Kluyveromyces lactis: one gene and its partners. The protein of the gene in region 4 purifies or fractionates together with the protein of the main gene of each other region. This does not show direct contact. Links are inferred from orthologs where the notes say so. Each region holds a gene or a part of one and is shown on either strand. Other genes may lie near its edges.

What was found.
Region 1: the proteins of UTP13 (region 4) and CSL4 purify together in Saccharomyces cerevisiae (affinity purification with mass spectrometry; 3 studies listed by BioGRID). This does not show direct contact. The link is inferred for Kluyveromyces lactis from reciprocal best matches to the Saccharomyces cerevisiae genes UTP13 and CSL4.
Region 2: the proteins of UTP13 (region 4) and NOP14 purify together in Saccharomyces cerevisiae (affinity purification with mass spectrometry; 3 studies listed by BioGRID). This does not show direct contact. The link is inferred for Kluyveromyces lactis from reciprocal best matches to the Saccharomyces cerevisiae genes UTP13 and NOP14.
Region 3: the proteins of UTP13 (region 4) and BUD21 purify together in Saccharomyces cerevisiae (affinity purification with mass spectrometry; 3 studies listed by BioGRID). This does not show direct contact. The link is inferred for Kluyveromyces lactis from reciprocal best matches to the Saccharomyces cerevisiae genes UTP13 and BUD21.
Region 5: the proteins of UTP13 (region 4) and IMP4 purify together in Saccharomyces cerevisiae (affinity purification with mass spectrometry; 3 studies listed by BioGRID). This does not show direct contact. The link is inferred for Kluyveromyces lactis from reciprocal best matches to the Saccharomyces cerevisiae genes UTP13 and IMP4.

The regions. Positions count from the first base shown.
Region 1 is NC_006040.1:1,659,499-1,662,323, forward strand, and holds CSL4 (exosome non-catalytic core subunit CSL4), read right to left. Parts: upstream 1,515-2,825; coding exon 621-1,514; downstream 1-620. Other genes in the region: BNI4 (Bni4p), read right to left, coding at 1,831-2,825.
Region 2 is NC_006039.1:1,426,373-1,430,565, reverse strand, and holds NOP14 (snoRNA-binding rRNA-processing protein NOP14), read right to left. Parts: upstream 2,816-4,193; coding exon 302-2,815; downstream 1-301. Other genes in the region: autophagy protein ATG9, read left to right, coding at 1-260; proteasome regulatory particle lid subunit RPN5, read left to right, coding at 3,372-4,193. UniProt on the Saccharomyces cerevisiae protein: Involved in nucleolar processing of pre-18S ribosomal RNA. Has a role in the nuclear export of 40S pre-ribosomal subunit to the cytoplasm.
Region 3 is NC_006037.1:682,522-685,384, forward strand, and holds BUD21 (Bud21p), read right to left. Parts: upstream 1,344-2,863; coding exon 591-1,343; downstream 1-590. Other genes in the region: Mn(2+) transporter ATX2, read left to right, coding at 1-480; KLLA0_A07645g (uncharacterized protein), read right to left, coding at 1,702-2,520. UniProt on the Saccharomyces cerevisiae protein: Functions as part of the small subunit (SSU) processome, first precursor of the small eukaryotic ribosomal subunit that coordinates the first two steps of ribosome biogenesis in transcription of the primary transcript pre-RNA and pre-18S processing.
Region 4 is NC_006042.1:1,222,855-1,227,081, forward strand, and holds UTP13 (U3 snoRNA-associated protein UTP13), read left to right. Parts: upstream 1-1,323; coding exon 1,324-3,768; downstream 3,769-4,227. Other genes in the region: KLLA0_F13222g (uncharacterized protein), read left to right, coding at 1-779; RSA3 (Rsa3p), read left to right, coding at 4,108-4,227. UniProt on the Saccharomyces cerevisiae protein: Involved in nucleolar processing of pre-18S ribosomal RNA.
Region 5 is NC_006041.1:700,555-703,419, forward strand, and holds IMP4 (snoRNA-binding rRNA-processing protein IMP4), read right to left. Parts: upstream 1,491-2,865; coding exon 639-1,490; downstream 1-638. Other genes in the region: KLLA0_E07811g (uncharacterized protein), read left to right, coding at 1-72; MKS1 (Mks1p), read right to left, coding at 1,932-2,865. UniProt on the Saccharomyces cerevisiae protein: Required for the early cleavages at sites A0, A1 and A2 during 18S ribosomal pre-RNA processing.

The DNA of each region.
Region 1 (2,825 bases), on a different chromosome or scaffold from region 4:
GTTCCAAAGGTTCAAGGTAACTCAAAGATTCCTCCTTTAGGGACCGGTAAAGAGGTTTTACACATTTTACAAACACATTATCCAGAAAGATTAGGGAAAGCATTATTAACTAATATCCCGTGGCTTGCGTGGACCTTTTTGAAGCTCATCCATCCTTTTATTGATCCGTTGACTCGTGAAAAATTGGTTTTTGATGAACCATTTCCAAATTATGTGCCACCTGATCAACTCGAGACGCTTTATGGTGGTAACCTCGACTTCAAATATAATCATGAAGCCTATTGGCCTGTCCTAACTCAAATTGCAGAGAAGAAGAGAAAGCATTATCTACAAAGATTTGAGAAGTTCGGAAAAAAAGTTGGACTGAGTGAATATGATTTAAGAGGTGACCACGATGAGTTGAAATTCCCAATCAACTAAAAGTCCAACTAACTTTTCTGATAATAACATATGATATTCAGGCGTTGAATTCACAATGATCTTAGTAGAAACTTCCTCAATATTCCCAATATGCGTGAAGCCTAATACGAAACTAATGTAAATGTAAATGAAAGTTGTAAATGTATGTATGTGAAGGTACCTATAGACTTGAACAAAAAGCTTGTTGTGTTCCGACTATATTAGAAGGGCTTTGCACATTTTCGTTTCTCAGCGACTCCGGTCTTTGGTGAAATCATTGTCTGCCAATCAATTGCATACATCTGTTCTCCAGCTCCGTTAGAAGACTTAGCGAACACCACGCCCAAGTCATTCCTTGCTGTAGTTAAATAGTAATGGGTACCATCGCCAAGTGAGAGCACTTGAGCACGTATTATATCCCCAGGTTTAAAACTTTCCATAACTTTTACTCTATCTCTATCAGTGGCCCTTACATCTTGGGATCTAATTATGCCCCTAAAAGTTTCTCCCAAATCCGCGGACACTTGCGAAACGGAAAACGTAGACGCACCAGATCCACCAGCAGCAGCAATTATGCCAGTCCCATTGCTTCCGACACCAGAGTCGATCGGCAAGGGCGAATTCTCAACTGCTAAAATCTCAACTGTTATTCTTTGCAAACTGATTCTGGTCACCCTCGCCAGTACGATATCGCCCTCTTGCGGAAGGTTATTGACAAACTGGTCATCAACATACTTGCTAGCAAACTTGCTAGGATTTGATACTGATACTTTGAAACTTTTTATAACTCTACTATTGCCAGAGCTTGCATCCCCTCCGGTGGTCTCATGAGATTCTACAAACGTCGTATTCTCTGAGTCTTCTTGATCGTCGTCTTCGATAATATCTGCTGGAACTTCTTCCACAGATACAGAACCTTTTAATGTGGCTACGATAATATCAACGTTCTTGCCGTTAACTCTAAAATTCTCCTGTTTACAGCCAGTGCCCGTTAGGAAGCGTATTACCACTTCTTGCTTGTTATCATCATCAACATCAAATATTGGACATATAAGATCACCGGGTATAACAGTCTGGGGGAAATTTTTAAAAGGCTTCATTTTATAACGATGCATATAGACAAACCTTACTGTTATCAAACACTCTTATTATCTTACAGGCCATATTTAAGCTAGTTTGGTATTACTGTTAGCTCATCGCATAAAGCAGCTCTTTTTTTATCATTTTCATAATGAGTGAAACAATTTTCAAAATTTGGGAGATGTTGAAGACAAGTTAGAATTATTTTCAAATAGTAGGGTAATATTACCAAAGCTTTCAAAGCGGGCTCAACACGAAAGCTACGTGCACGATTTGAATCCATATAAAGGGAAACATAGAAACGCATGGTAAATGATTTAACTACTATGATTACATGTATTTATAGGTCTACTAAAAGAAGTGAGTGTTGCACATAGAATCTTCGTGAATGTCCATTTCTGCTTTAAGCTCATTCAGCTCGTCCTTTATCATTTGGGCCAATTGAGGAGTAAGTTGATTGCATGTTGCCGAATCAGGATGCCTATCATACTCAAGTTCACCATAGGTCTCATAAAGGACTATTTGAGAGGAAAACTTAACAAGTTTTGCTGCATAGCTAGATCTTTCTTCCGATTTCTTCGACATCTGATCTGAGATATGTTCAAGTCCCGTAAGCCCTGAAAGTTCCATGGTACTGTTGAATTGTGGCGCTTTCAAACCCCTAAAAGACATCGATATAGGCCTGCTCATCGATGTTGTGATATCTGGTAAAAATGCGTTGATCTTTGGGGATTCTTTTACTGCATGTATGCCATTAAAATCTTCGTTCTCAAAATCTTCCTCATCATAATTATCAAAATATAAACTGCTATCAGAAAAAGTGTTTTGGTTGCTACTGCTAACATTTTCTGGTGATGTGTCTCTTGTTTTTATAGTACTTGATATGTGTTTCTGATCATCCAAACCAGTCTGTTTTTGGTTGAGTACTGAACTGTTTGTCTTAATTTCTGGGGAGTTAGTAAGTTCCACAAGAAATGAGTTTTCTGTCTCAGTATTGAAGCTGGGCTTGGATAGAGAGTTTTTCACAGATTCTTTGACCGGATTTAGAGTTTCATAGTGTGAACGATTGTCAGAATAGAGATCAAAATTTAACTCGATATCTTGTCCAAAGTCTATTATACTTGCAAATTCCATGATATCTGAGATTAATTCGTTGTCTTCATTATCTGAATCTTCAAGACTAGATTTAGTTGCCTTATTCTGCACCAATGGTTTTTCTAGTTGATCTTCTTGATCAGATTCCATTGTCAGCTCGTTTAACTTTTGCTCTATGGAACCAAAAGAAAAATCTCTCTGTTGTGGTGAAATTGTGAAACTTGCACTTCGAGTACCATGACTATTGTCCA
Region 2 (4,193 bases), on a different chromosome or scaffold from region 4:
CTACTAAAGACTATTCCTGGAAGACACAATTTGCCTTAGGTAAAAACTCCAATCGTAAGAGAAATCTTAATCGATCAAGGGTGAAGAGATTCCCGGATCGTAGTTCGGACCTTGAATTAGGCTCATTGAGTGGTTCACTTATCAACAAATCTACCCTTTTTAAGGATGATATTGCTGATAATGCTGACGAACTGAAGGCGGGAAATGGTGTTATGGGCCTATTAAACCAATATTACAAAAAATCAGATCGCAATCGATGATAAAGTTTATTAATGTTGAGTATAGATTATATAATATGCAGTTAACGTTTGGTATTACGGAGCTTCTTTTCACGCTCATATTTGTTTTTCTCAGCACCTTCTTCAGTACTGATTTGATTGACAATACGTGCCATCTTGGAATGGTAATCGGCGTACTCCTTCTTCTTTTCTTCAATGCCTTGTCTTGCCTCGAATCTAGTGTCTTTACGTATTTCTTTCATAGTGAACTTACGTTCCTTCTTCAATTGCGCCTTCATCTTGTTCAACTCACTTCTGGTCTTATCTGGATCATACGACTTCTTATCTGGGTTGAAGTTCTCTTCGAATTTAGGCGTATTTGATGGAATCGCCAGTGGTTTATGCTGTTGCAACGTCAATGGCAGACGTTCTTGGAATTTCAATAGCTTTTCGATCTTTTCCACTAATTGTTTTGGTTTAGAAGTACCAGGATATACTTCGGCAGCCACGTTTAGTATGTCTTTGAAGGGATTAATGATTTCTGGGAAGGCAGTAAGATCTTTCCAGATGTTCGTTATGCACCAATCAATTGATTCTAGATTGTTGACCAGCACGGACAGTTTGATAGATTCTTGCTTTTCTAGATCCTCGGAAAATAATGAGTGTAATTCTAAAGAAGGGGCGACCTTGGACCAGTTAATATCCGAGCCTACTATTGATAAATTGTCCTCCTGTTTTTCTTTGTTTTCTAATGTTTCCCCTTTGGTACTCGGTATTAGAGAACGCAAAGATGTCTGCAAGAAGTATGTTAACTCAGGAATATAACGCTTGCTTATACGTTGATACTGGATGGCGATTCTAACCAGTATCGAACCAAATATTAATTTTTGAAGAGAATTGAACCTAATTTGTTCCAAAAACTCTGCAATTAGAAGCAGACAGGGAGTAATGACTAAATGATAGTGATCCGAAGTGGAGAACAACATACCAACAACAGAGAAAAATACCAAATCTGATGGAGATAGTCCATAGAACTGGGATTCTTTGAATCTAGTCTGAATATCTGAGATGATATTTCTACAATCCTCTGATAGTGGAATGGTAAACTTTTCTGAAAGAGTCTTTAGAATGCTTACTAGTTCGTTTTGTAATGATGCAATTTCTTTCACATTAACCGAGTAATCTTCTTCAGCCAAGAAAAGTATATGTCTGAGCAAAACAGCAGTGAATTTGCCCAATTTTTCTTTGTTTCCCTCAGCCAATTTTGGTTGGTATGTTTTTACTATTCTTTTAACTAAAGATGGATGCTCTTCGATAGGATAAGATTTCAAGAAATTTAGTAAGTCATCGTGAATTTGAGGACATGGAACAGAAGGTATAACTCTTGCTGAAGGTCTACCATTTGATGTAGCGTCGTATTCATTGTCATCATTGTTATCCTTCTCGAAATCAACGTCGTCATCCGAGTCAGGAATTGCTTTGATATATTCACCATATTCGCCCTCCTCAGAGTCGCTATCTTCCCAAAACTCTTCTCCCAAATCTTCAACACCAGCATCTTTTTGATCTTCAATGTTGAAAATACCGTTCATACGATCAAGCCTTTTCTGCTCCAATTCCTTTTGTTTGTCCTCATATTCTTTCTTAATCTCTTCATCTGTTTTAGTTCTATCTGCAGGGGCAGCTCTTTTCTCCAAGACTAACTCTTTCACCTTGATATCATAATCTGGAGCGATGTCTGTGGAGGTCGAAATCTCAGTTTGAGAAGGTTTAGTCTTTGGTAACGTCCTTAATTCAGACATAATGCTTTCGAAATCGTCATCAAGGCCTTCGATATCTTGGACCAATTTCTCCTGCGCCTTTTGTCTTTCATGTTTGTAAAATTTGGATTTAGCAATGACCTCTTGCATGACTTCTGCCTTAGTCTTCTTTCTTGCTGGCTCTTGCAAAGCGTCATCACCTAACCCTTCATCTCCGTATTGATCCGCCATATTTCTTTTACCAGCTTGTTTCAACCTGAAGTCCTCCGAATCAGAATGCTGTAACCCCAAATCACCTTCATCGAAATCATCTTCCAAGGAAAGAGACTTACCATAATGAGTCAACTTTTCACCGTACACGTTTTCATCCTCACCACCATCGCTATCGTCTAAATTGAATAACGATCTTTTCGTCGAAGATTGACGTTGTCTTTCCTTTGTGAAACGTTCCAACATGATCTCCTCGGAAGTCAAATTCTTATCCTTTTCACCAAAACGTTTATCTAAGACACCACCGCTTCTGTTCTTGCTGGACTTCTTGGCTTCGTAGAACATTTTACGTTGATCTTCACCGGCTTGTTTAGTGATTCCCGGCTTACCTACTGCAAGTTTAGCTGCAGATTCCCTCATCACACCAACCTTTTTATTACGATTTGTTTTCACATCAAACGGATTAAACTGTTCCCTAATTCTTTCAATAGTCTTCTGTCTTTCTTCTCTATCAAACTCCCTGGGAGATTTGCCCTTCTTCTTAGAACTCTTCTTGACATTGGTCTGACCAGTCAACCCATTAGCCTTTAAAGCGGCCTTCAAGTTCTTCAACTGTGAACCACCCATTATTATTCGACTTTGTAACCTATTTGCCCACAGACAAGAAGAATGGTCTAAACACAACTGATGATGCAAGTCAATTCAATACAATCGGCCAAGATACTGAACCTTCTGACAGCCTTTGATTTAATCCCATCTCATCTCATCTCATCGCTCAATTCATCTTCTGTCAAACTTTTAATGCTTTTTCACCGAAAAGAAAGAAAATAGTTACCCGCACAATAAAATCAAATCAAGGTTACCCGAATATCCAGCACAATCATTACGAACGATGATGAAGTCACGTTTTTCTAAGATTCGATTGTTACTGTTACTGAGGAAGCTTTTACCGTAGCTTGTCATTTTAAAGGCATTATGAGAAATAAAGGAAATCAGTTACAGGTGGCAAATATATACGAAATAACCGCGAACAGAGGTACAGCAGGTTACAGTGTCGGTTCTGAGACTGTAAGTTTGTGTGGTTTGAATACAGGACGGATACAGAGAAATTGATTGTATTGCATTTCGGTTTAAGTTGAGCAGGCAGAGCAAAGAGAAAAGAGTATAAATTATATCGTAAAATATGTCCAGAGACGCTCCAATTAAGGCAGAGAAAGATTATACCGAAATCTTGGACGCTGAATTTCCTAAGCTTGAGATTTTGGCCAAGAATGATTATTCCAGTGCTTTGGATCAATTGTTAGTGTTGGAAAAGAAGACTAGACAATCTTCTGATTTAGCATCTTCGAAAAGAGTCTTGACTAAGATCGTAGATGTTTTGGTCGCAGCAGACCAATGGGACCTACTTAACGACCAAATCATGCTTCTATCAAAAAAGCATGGTCAATTGAAGTTATCTGTGCAGTATATGATTCAGTCTGTGATGAAATATTTGGAAGACCTGAAGGATTTGGACACCAAGATTAAAACTATTGAGACGATAAGAACCGTGACTGAGAACAAGATTTTCGTGGAAGTTGAAAGAGCTAGAGTCACTAGAGATTTGGTTCATATCAGAAGATCTGAGAACAAGATCGATGAGGCCACTGACTTGTTATGTGAATTGCAAGTGGAAACGTATGGGTCCATGGAGATGTATGAAAAGATTGAATTTATCCTTGAACAAATGGAATTAAGTATCCTAAAAGGTGATTACTCTCAAGCCACTGTGTTGTCCAGAAAAATATTAAAGAAGACTTTCAAGAATGAAAAGTATGCAGCATTGAAATTAGAGTATTATAACCTTTTGGTAAAGATTGGCTTGCATAAGAAAGATTACTTAGAAGTGGCTCAGTACTACCAAGAAATCTACAACTCTGATTCTGTGAAGGCAGATGAAATTCAATGGAAGGCAGCTCTATCCAGGGTTGTATACTTCTTGATTCTATCGCCATATGATAACCTA
Region 3 (2,863 bases), on a different chromosome or scaffold from region 4:
ATTGCCGAATCCTACGATTCGTTGAAATTCGTGATGTTGATCGCCATTATTATACATAAAATTCCTGCGACGCTTTCCTTGACGGGGATTATGATTTCGAAACAGAGATTACCCAAACTACAAGTAATCTCTAATCTTATTGCATTCAGTATATCCACACCGTTCGGGTTGCTATTCGTGATCCTGATGAGATTCGTCAGCAAGGACCTAATCGAGAAAATGAGCGATGGGCTATTGGTTCTGAGCGGTAGTAGTTTATTGTATGCTTCATTGCTTGCGTTGATCTCACCAAGTAAGGACCAGGAACAACAGTTACAGAATGATGGCCCGATCCCAGTGTCGGGTTCTGTTTTAGAGATGGGCGAAGGTGTTACCACTGAAGAGAAAATAGAACAAGAATCACTTCCAGATGTCAGATTGTTACTCTTGGGTATCTTTATCCCGTTAATGATCTCTTTCTTCGCTCCTCATGATAGCTAAAGCCAATCAGGAAACTCCTCTTTTAGATAATACATTATACACGAGACAAATCACATGTATAAAGACCTGTATATTTGAATAGATAGGTACATGTGGGCACAAATCCTCTTCTATTTACGTTTGAGACTTCTTCTTTTCAACCATTTATCCTTTGATTTCATGACACTGGTTTCCTTTTTTGGAGCCAGTGTCTTAGATACCTTCATCGACGATAGCAAGTTCACAGTGACAGGTCCTTTCTGTATTTGGGTCTTTCTCAATTCCCTTAGTGATCTCTTCTTTTGTTTCCGTAATTCTTCTTTTAGGGCCTGTTCTTCTTCTCTTTGCGCTTCTGCCGAGAAAGTAATATGTTTCGGCGTAGCCTTTGCGAAGGAAGATGCAGATCCACTTTCTAGCTCATCAAAGAACTCTTGTGGTAACTCTTCCGGCTCATCATTATCCGAACCCTGCTGCGCTACTAATTGTCGTTCAAACTCTAACATCTTTTCTCTCTGTTTCTCCTCCTCAGACTCGAGCAGCTTCTTCTTCTTCTCTAGCTGCTGTTGCTTGAACACTTTCTCGTTCTTTCGTCTCTTCTCTCTAGCTGCCTCTTCTTGTAACCTTGCAGCCTCTTCTCTTTCCTGAATCCTTTTCTCTATAGCATCTTTCCCACTACTCAAGCCTTCTTCTTCTGGCGCATCGCTATCACTCTCACTCTCACTTTCACTTTCACCATTCGCTTCTGCTTTTGTTGGTTTGAGAGCATCTAGGGTAGAGTTGCCCTCATCAGCTGTATGGAATGAATCATCCGCATCATCATCGAACTTCAAGTGTCTCTTCGCTACCAGTGCAGCACCAGAACCTAGAACTTTCTTCAAACCCATTGTTATATTTCTCAGTAAACTCTTGCCACTTGTCTAATCCAATGCACAATTGAACAGAAACACTGACAGAACGGTAACACGACCTGCTTCATGGACTAGTTCCAGTGGTTCATCTCATCTCATCTCATCGCTTTGTCCAAATTTTTCACTTCGAAAAGAAATGATACGTAAATAGAGGTCACGTGCTGAAGATTTTGTTCCTGACACTGGACTACGAGTAGAATGCTCATCACCCGTTAACGGACTGTGCTGTGTATTGGCTGGTTCTGGTGCTATTTGTTGGTTAGATTATATCAATTTATATCAACTTTATTGCTATGCTAATGGTATTTAATGTGTAGCTTGCAGTACTGAAACATCATGACACTTTAAACTCAATATCACAGAACTGGGTACCAAAAAGCATTCTTGCCACGTCTGTACCCATTATCCAGCATATACATGCCTTTATAATAACCAAGAGATATGATCTACCAGTTCCTGTTACTAAAGAATATATTATCCCAATGACACAGATGGTGATTAGGATATAAGTTATGATGACAGGATATCTTGCGTATAGCATTTGCAAGAACCGACTTAACGGACTGGTAAATGGTGATTCCCTGGATGGGGGAATTGAGGGTGACTGCACGGGGTCGCCTGAACATGGCTGATCGCTTGATGGTGGTGGTATTGGAATTGGCAACGAGGGTGTTGACCAGCAATGTATCTGTGCAGTGGGGTTGGACTCTGGGGAAATTGTTTGGTATGTTGTCAAATCAGGCAACTGTGATTCTAGTAGCGGTGACGATTCCTCCGCGACGCCGATATGACCCTTTTCTAAATCGCTGGCATTATATACCAAAGAGTCACTAACATTTCCATCAGGTAATGGTCCTACTATTATCCTAGTTGGTGTGCTGATTGGAACAGACTCCGGATGTGGTGAAGATTCCACAATGCGGACAGATTTATTCTCATGTTCGTGCGTGCCATCAACAGGTCTTAATATAGACTTGATTGGTATGGGAGTGCTGCTTTTCTGGCTACTGCTCTCACCGGATTGCATTGGTGGGTCCAGTTGTTTGGGTTTAGGTTTGGGTTTGGGTTTAGGTTTCGCTGCTGAAGCTGGTGCGTAAGTGATTGGTTTATTTCGACGTTTAGGCGAAAACCGCTTATTCAATAAGCTCTTCATATGATTTAGCTCTGTACAGTAGAAGCTGACGTTCTCTCTAAATATCTAGATTCAGATCTCGACCTTGAACGGTTGGAGAACGTCTTATGTCGTGTTCTCTATTAAAACGTTTGTGGCTGGGATCTAAATTCAGTTCAATTTGACGTCTGGAAAACTGACACAAGGAATTACCGGCGATTGAACAGCCGTGTCACTTCAAAATCGGGGGTTTAGTAGGGTGTAACCATCTGTAACAACAGGACAGCTATCTTGGAGAGCCCGTGCTTCTAAGTGCATCGCTCTGTGTTTTCTCTTGTGAGGTGGTATCATTTATTGCAATATAGGATGAATATCACGTGACCAT
Region 4 (4,227 bases):
AAGAGATTGCCACCTGGTATCACAAACCATCTGTTCCATTATCTGCTTTCAGAAATAAAGGCATCAACTTCGAACATCAAGAAGACGAATACATGCTTCCTGTGTTTTCAGCACGCAAGTTCCCAATTGGTTACGTTGGTAGTGAAAGGACTAGAAGGAAGATCGATAAGATGAAGGAATACCAAAGAAAGAAAGATGAAAAGCGACGGAAGATAAAGAAGAAAAAGAAGCTCTTGAAAATCAGAAGGGAAAGGCAAAGAATTGAAAAGCAAAAATTGCTCACTGCTCCTGAACAAGAAACTGAAACTGAACCCAACGCAGATTCTCACAACAACATTCAAACTCCCTCTAGCGTGAATTTGGCTAGTCCAAGTTCAAGTGTTTTCACCGATGCAGATGCTGGAAACACACCTAATGATTTCAACGGTCTGGTTTTACCAACGAGGAAGAATTCTGTGAAGGGATTAGGAATGGATGAAATTGATCAACTGCTGAAATCTGATGATGATTTAATACTTTCTCATCATGGAGATGAAGATGGAGATATTGATCTATTAGGCAGTGACGATGCAGATCTCCTGGTTTCTCTGACTGCCCCGATTGAAGAAATTGATTTTAACCATGAACAAATGAGCCATGTTGCCGCATGGAGAAGAAGAAACAGTATCGCCGAAGCTGCTGCTGAACATATGAGAGTAACCAAGAATGGACTTTTCAGTGAGACGGCGCTAGCTGATCTGGAGGAAATCATCGGAGGATCAACAGAACTCCCAAGTTAACCCTCATTTTCACTTCCTTTGATTTTATTTTTTATTCCTTGGTTTTACCACTGCTGCTGATGCGAAACTACTCGACTAAAGCATAACCATAAACTACAATTATCTGTATTCTACCTACTACACTTTCTTGGATATAATCTACATAGATATCATTCTGTGAAGCTCTATTCAGCTTCACCATTTTTTCCGTAAGAGGAGTGTTGTACTTCTCTCATAAATCAACAATTAACTTTAAAATCATATCCATTAGAATATTAGCAAATATTTAGCAAATATGTGTAAGTGCAAATAAACATTGTCTAAAGACCGTTCCCGGTTTTCAGCTCCTTTGTATATGTTCAATCTCTTTCTGTTTCAAGCATATGATAACCCATGCCTCATTGTCTACGTTTTTTTCTTTTTTTTGTTCAATTCGAATGTTGAAAAGTTTAATTCATCTCATCTCATCTCATCGCATCACAGAAATATGCTAGGTGAACCAATAAGATTATACCTGGCCAATTATTAGCACCCAGGACAGCACCTTGGATCTCCCACTCGCACAATGGATTTGAGAACTACCTATGCATCCACGAAACTAGAGCCGTTTTATGCTGGTACTGGTGCTATAGCATCTGTTTCTGAAGATGGACGATTATTAGCGACTTCGGTCGTCGATAAAATCAACATTGTTAGCTTAGATAGCCCACGCCGAGTGTTGCATTCTGTTGATACTGAGGATGAACAAGACATCACCGCATTGCATTTAACTCCAGATGGTTCTTATTTGTGTTTTGTCTCACAAGCGCAGTTGCTCAGAGTGTATTCTTTGAAACAAGAAAGAATTATCAGATCAATGAAGATTTCGTCACCGGTGTACGTCATGAATTGCGATCAAACATCTACACTTTTGGCTATAGGTGGTACTGATGGTAGTGTTAGTGTTATTGATATTGAAAATGGATATGTCACGCACTCTTTGAAAGGACATGGTGCTACCATTTCAAGTGTAAAGTTTCACGGTGAGTTGAACAGTGAAATTTGGAAGCTTGCATCTGGTGATACCAACGGTATGATTAAAGTCTGGGATTTAGTTAAACGTAATTGTCAATGCACTATTCAGGAACATACTACAGCTGTTAGAGGGCTAGATTTCCGTGTCACTGATGAAGAAAAGGGAACGCTGCAGTTATTATCTGGTGGTAGAGACAATATCTTAAATCTCTTCGAGTTTAATTCGACGAAAAAGTATAAGCTACTGAAGACCATCCCTGTCATAGAACAGGTGGAATCGTGTGGATTTACGCAGGACCCGGATGTGGTTTACTCAGCCGGTGGTGGTGCCATTTACCAATTAGTGTCCTTGTCAACAGGAAGAGTATTAAAGAAAACAGCAAAACCTATTGAAGAGCTATTTATTATTGGTACACTATGTATCCTGAACGGAACTAAGCAGTACTTGGTATTTTCAGATCAAACTTTGTTCCTAATAGATGTTGAATCAGCTTTACAATCGGAATCTGAAGTAATTGAAGTGGAAAATAAGATTGCAGGTAATCATGGTACCATTGCAGATATAAGATTCGTTGGTCCAAAACGGGATAAATTAGCATTAGCTACTAACTCTCCTACTCTTAGAATAATTCCAACCCCAACTTCTTCGGAGGAAGAGTTCGAAAATGGGGAGAACAAAGAAACATTTCCTATTGAAGTAAAGATGTACGAGGGTCATACGGATCTACTCAACTCTTTGGATGCCACCGCTGATGGTCTCTGGGTTGCTACAGCATCCAAGGATCACAGCGTTATATTATGGAGATATCATGCAAAGTACGAAGACTTTTATCCATACACTAAATTTGTCGGTCATGTAGGTTCTGTGAATGCTGTTGGACTTCCTAATGTTATGCCACGTTCATGGCCTGAATTCATAATTACAGCTTCTAACGATTTGACCATAAAGAAATGGAAGGTTCCTAAGGTGACATCTGATGAACCCGAAGATCTAATACTTGTTAAGACCTCAGAATATACCAGAAGGGCGCATGAAAAGGATATCAATGCTATCTCCATTTCACCTAATGATTCTCTATTTGCCACGGCTTCATACGATAAGACATGTAAAATATGGAATTTGGATGATGGTGAATTCCAAGCCACATTAGCAAACCACAAACGTGGTCTATGGGACGTTGCATTCTGTCAATATGACAAGTTATTGGCCACATGTTCCGGTGACAAGACCATCAAAATTTGGTCCTTAGAATCATATGCCGTCGTAAAAACTTTGGAAGGACATACCAATGCAGTTCAAAGATGTTCCTTCATAAACAAGAACAAGCAACTGATAAGTACTGGTGCTGATGGTTTAGTTATTATTTGGGATCTATCAACTGGTGAATCGGTCAAGACACTAGATGCTCACAATAACCGTATCTGGGCTCTTGCTGTTATGAACGATGGTGAATCCTTCGTTACAGCAGATGCTGACGGCTTCTTTGAGTTCTGGAGGGATAACAGTGAAGAGGAACACGAACGTAACCTCGAGCAAGAGAAACTGAAGATTGAACAAGAACAATCATTACAAAATTATCTCTCAGAAGGTGACTGGACTAACGCATTTTTGCTTGCCATGACCTTGGATCACCCAATGAGATTGTACAACGTCTTAAGACAAAGTGTAGACAACTCAAATGAGGATCCAAATGTAGTTTTCAACAACGAAATTGACGAGGTTGTGTCGACTCTAGATAAAGATCAACTTCTTCTTTTAGTGAAAAGGTGCAGAGATTGGAATACAAATGCAAGAACACACACAGTAGCCCAAAAGATGATAAGGTGTATTCTTCTAAGACAAAATATTGAAGAGTTGAGCGAAATTCCTGGGCTTGTAAGGATCGTTGAATCAATAATCTCATACGCAGAGAGACATTACTCAAGAATGGATAACTTGGTTCAAGAAAGTTATATCTTAGATTACGCTTTAGTTCAAATGGACAAATTGCTATAAAGAATGTAAATATAGCACTAGTCGTCATGTAGATATATACATATAACAGTACAACACACCCACCGCATCAACTCTGAATAGATACCATATCCAGTCAAGGGCCATCCATCAGTAGAATAATAAGTTTGTTACCCGGCTTTGAGTTTTAGACAGAATTTGTTTCCCTGCAAAAGAAACTTCATCAAATAACTAGACGATGTGAAGCGATGAGATGAGATGAGATGAGATCGGCTCTCATCCTTCTTCTGTTAAAAGGTGACTTCAACTGTGAATTTTTGACAGTTATACTTTAAAGTTAACTCTCCTCCATATTAACGAGAAGCTCTATCGGAAACTATCATGTCAGAGGGACATATTGCAGCTATTAGCAAGACGAACAAGAGGAAGAACAGAAGAAAGAAGAGAAGAACGCAAGACGTGTCCGACTCAAGTTCTGATTCCAGCTCCGATTCTGAAAAT
Region 5 (2,865 bases), on a different chromosome or scaffold from region 4:
TTTTATGATGAGCAACTTCAATCCAATACGGCAAGCGAAGTGGTGAAGAAAAAGTTGACTAACGAAATCTAACATTAAAAAGAAAGAATAAGGATGATCCATGAGCCATTCAGCGCGCTTTTAAATAGAAGGAAATTGCTACGTTTATCTGTTTTCAAGCAATCACTTGAATTTTCTGGCCAAGAACGGGTCATTTATTTTTTCCGTCTCTTCTTTGATACATCTTCTTCCCCTTCCCTTATTTTTTCTCTCGTTCAGCAACTCTTTCCCTTACCGTCTCCTCGGTACAGTCAATCGTTATAACTCTATTTTGAATTAACATTCTATTTTTATTTATATCGAAATGAGAAGGTTGTTATTCTTTTATGTTAATTTACTTACGGGTGTTTTCTTTTTCTCTTTCTGATTCTTTTTATCCTATCTATAAATACAGTGACTGAAACGCAGTTGCTTCATGCTCCAGGGTTTGCTAATATCATGTAATTGTGTTTAATTTTCCTGTATCTCCTCAAACAACATACCCTTTCCGTCGTTAAAACGAAATACGTTTGATAGAATTCTTTCCACTAGCAAAAATGTTATACTTTGCTTGATTTTATGGACATTATGATGGAATTGTCTTATTATGCTTACTATAATTATAAATAGTCCTTTCTACTAGCCGTTCTAACAAATCTTCTTAGTTGCCATTCTACGTCAGCATCTTTATTTTCTAATGTTCCTAATTTTAATTCGAACAATCTCATCTCGAACCTAGGTCCCACTTCTGCTAACTCCACACCTTCTCTGGTTTTCACATAAACATGTTGCCTAACGCTGATAAAATCTCCTCTGTTTGCAAACGTTATCACCCTTGCTGCATCTTTCTTTGGACCAGGTGGGAATAGGTGCTTTAAAATCGTCTCTACTCTCTTACCCAATGGTGTTGTGAAATTATCGAAGATTAGATGTGGATTTACTTCACTTTGATTCCCCGAATTTAAAATGTCATGTCTTAAAACGACGTTGTGTAATGTGAAAAATGCTGTTGGACCATGTGGGAAATGTGATACCGTTAGTGATGTAGGAACACCTCTATGTTCATGAAGAACAACCAAATCTGACGTTCCTGATGTTTGACAGGCATCGACAAGATTCGGCATAATGTAATTACCTCTGTTTAATCTTACCGCTGTTGGGAACAGTAATTTGATTTCTTTTGCAAACTGTGATAACCTAGTACTAGGGTCTCTAGATGTTGTCACAATAATCTTAGGTTCTGCGATACCGCTTGTTGCGCTGTACTCATCATCTATCTGTTCCTGAGCACTTTCATCGTATTGAAAATCTTTCTGTAGTTGCTCATCTTCAGCAATTTCCTTTGGTAGTGGTTTCCCCTGTGCTAACGCTTGCTTTATGATTTGGCGCTTTTGTTGTAGTTGAGATTCTTGTAGCTCTTGTGCTTTACGGTACAAGTATTCTCTTCTTTCACGAGCTTGCCTTCTTAACATCGTACTTCAATAATGTGTTGCTTGTATAGTACCAAAAAAGCGAATAGCTGATAATATACTATAATAATGCCTGTTTATAGTGACTACAGTACGTATATACACGATACTAGTCCGTCGTAAACAAAAATGTCCAACCAGCTAAGTTGTTCTTCAGCTCTAACGTCTCATCTCATCGCATCGTTCATGTAAAAATTTCAGCCTCAAAAAGAAATAATTATTAGAATAATACCAAATGGTCACGTGACAAAACCTTTATACAAATCCATAAAGCCAAATACGCTAAGAAACGCATTATCGTAACATCGGTTACATACAACAGACACTGTAATTGGTGACATATTAAAGAATTACTTGGTTGTCATTAAACGAGGTTTTATACAGTCTATCAAAGGTAATTAATATTTGTCGTGGATGATGTTTAGTAAATGAAGGAAATTACCTTCACTTCTTGACACATCTGCCATATGCTCTAGCGAAGCTTTCTTCTTCTGAGATTTCCATTCTAGTCTTGAGGAAGAAATTGTTTCTGTTTTTGGAAGGGATATCCATCGATTCACGTCTCGATGCTACCTTTTTGGCTATTTCAGTATCAAAATCTGATTGAAGACTTCCTCCACGTAATGCCATCCTTTGTTGGTGGACGTTATTAGGCAAAAACATATGGGTAGAAAGAGCAGTAGGTAAAATGGTCTGAGCAGCCGGAGGTGCATTCGATTCATGATAATACCGTTCTCTAGTAGTATCGCTTACGATACTACTAAAAGAGCCGAGTCTTCTGGAACGCTCAAATGCGACAGGAATTGGCTTTTGATGATCCAAAAGAGGTTTGTTCTGCCACGAACTTGATGGTGTCACAGAGCCCACAGCAACTATTTCCGTAGTTTCTGGAGCAACAGGTTGAGGCGGTATTTGAATTCCTGTTGGATTCTGATGTAATATGCAATTTTGATCGGTCTTCTTTCTCAGAGGCTTTTCCGATTGTTTATCCAAAGACTTTAAGACAGGTTTCTCAACAGCCTTTGCTGAAGATGTTGCTTCAGAAACATATAGTGGTCTTTTGAGCAAATCCTCATTGGTTGTAGTGTATGCTTTATCCTCTGGATCAACTTGTGACTTGGTTTGTTTCTCTTGCATGAATAGACCAGACAACAAACTTTTCTTCTCTCCGGATTCTTTTGAAGGCACTTGATGAACATTATTGTTTTGGTGTGTCTTTGAGAACATCAGCTTATCCCATTGGTTTTCATAATATTGATCATTATCTTCTTCTTCATCGTATATCTCACTATCATCTGAAAGAGAGTCCCAATCAGATTCTTCGTCCTCACTACTAAAGAACATATTCTTGTGATCTTGTCCGGCATGCACATGCGCT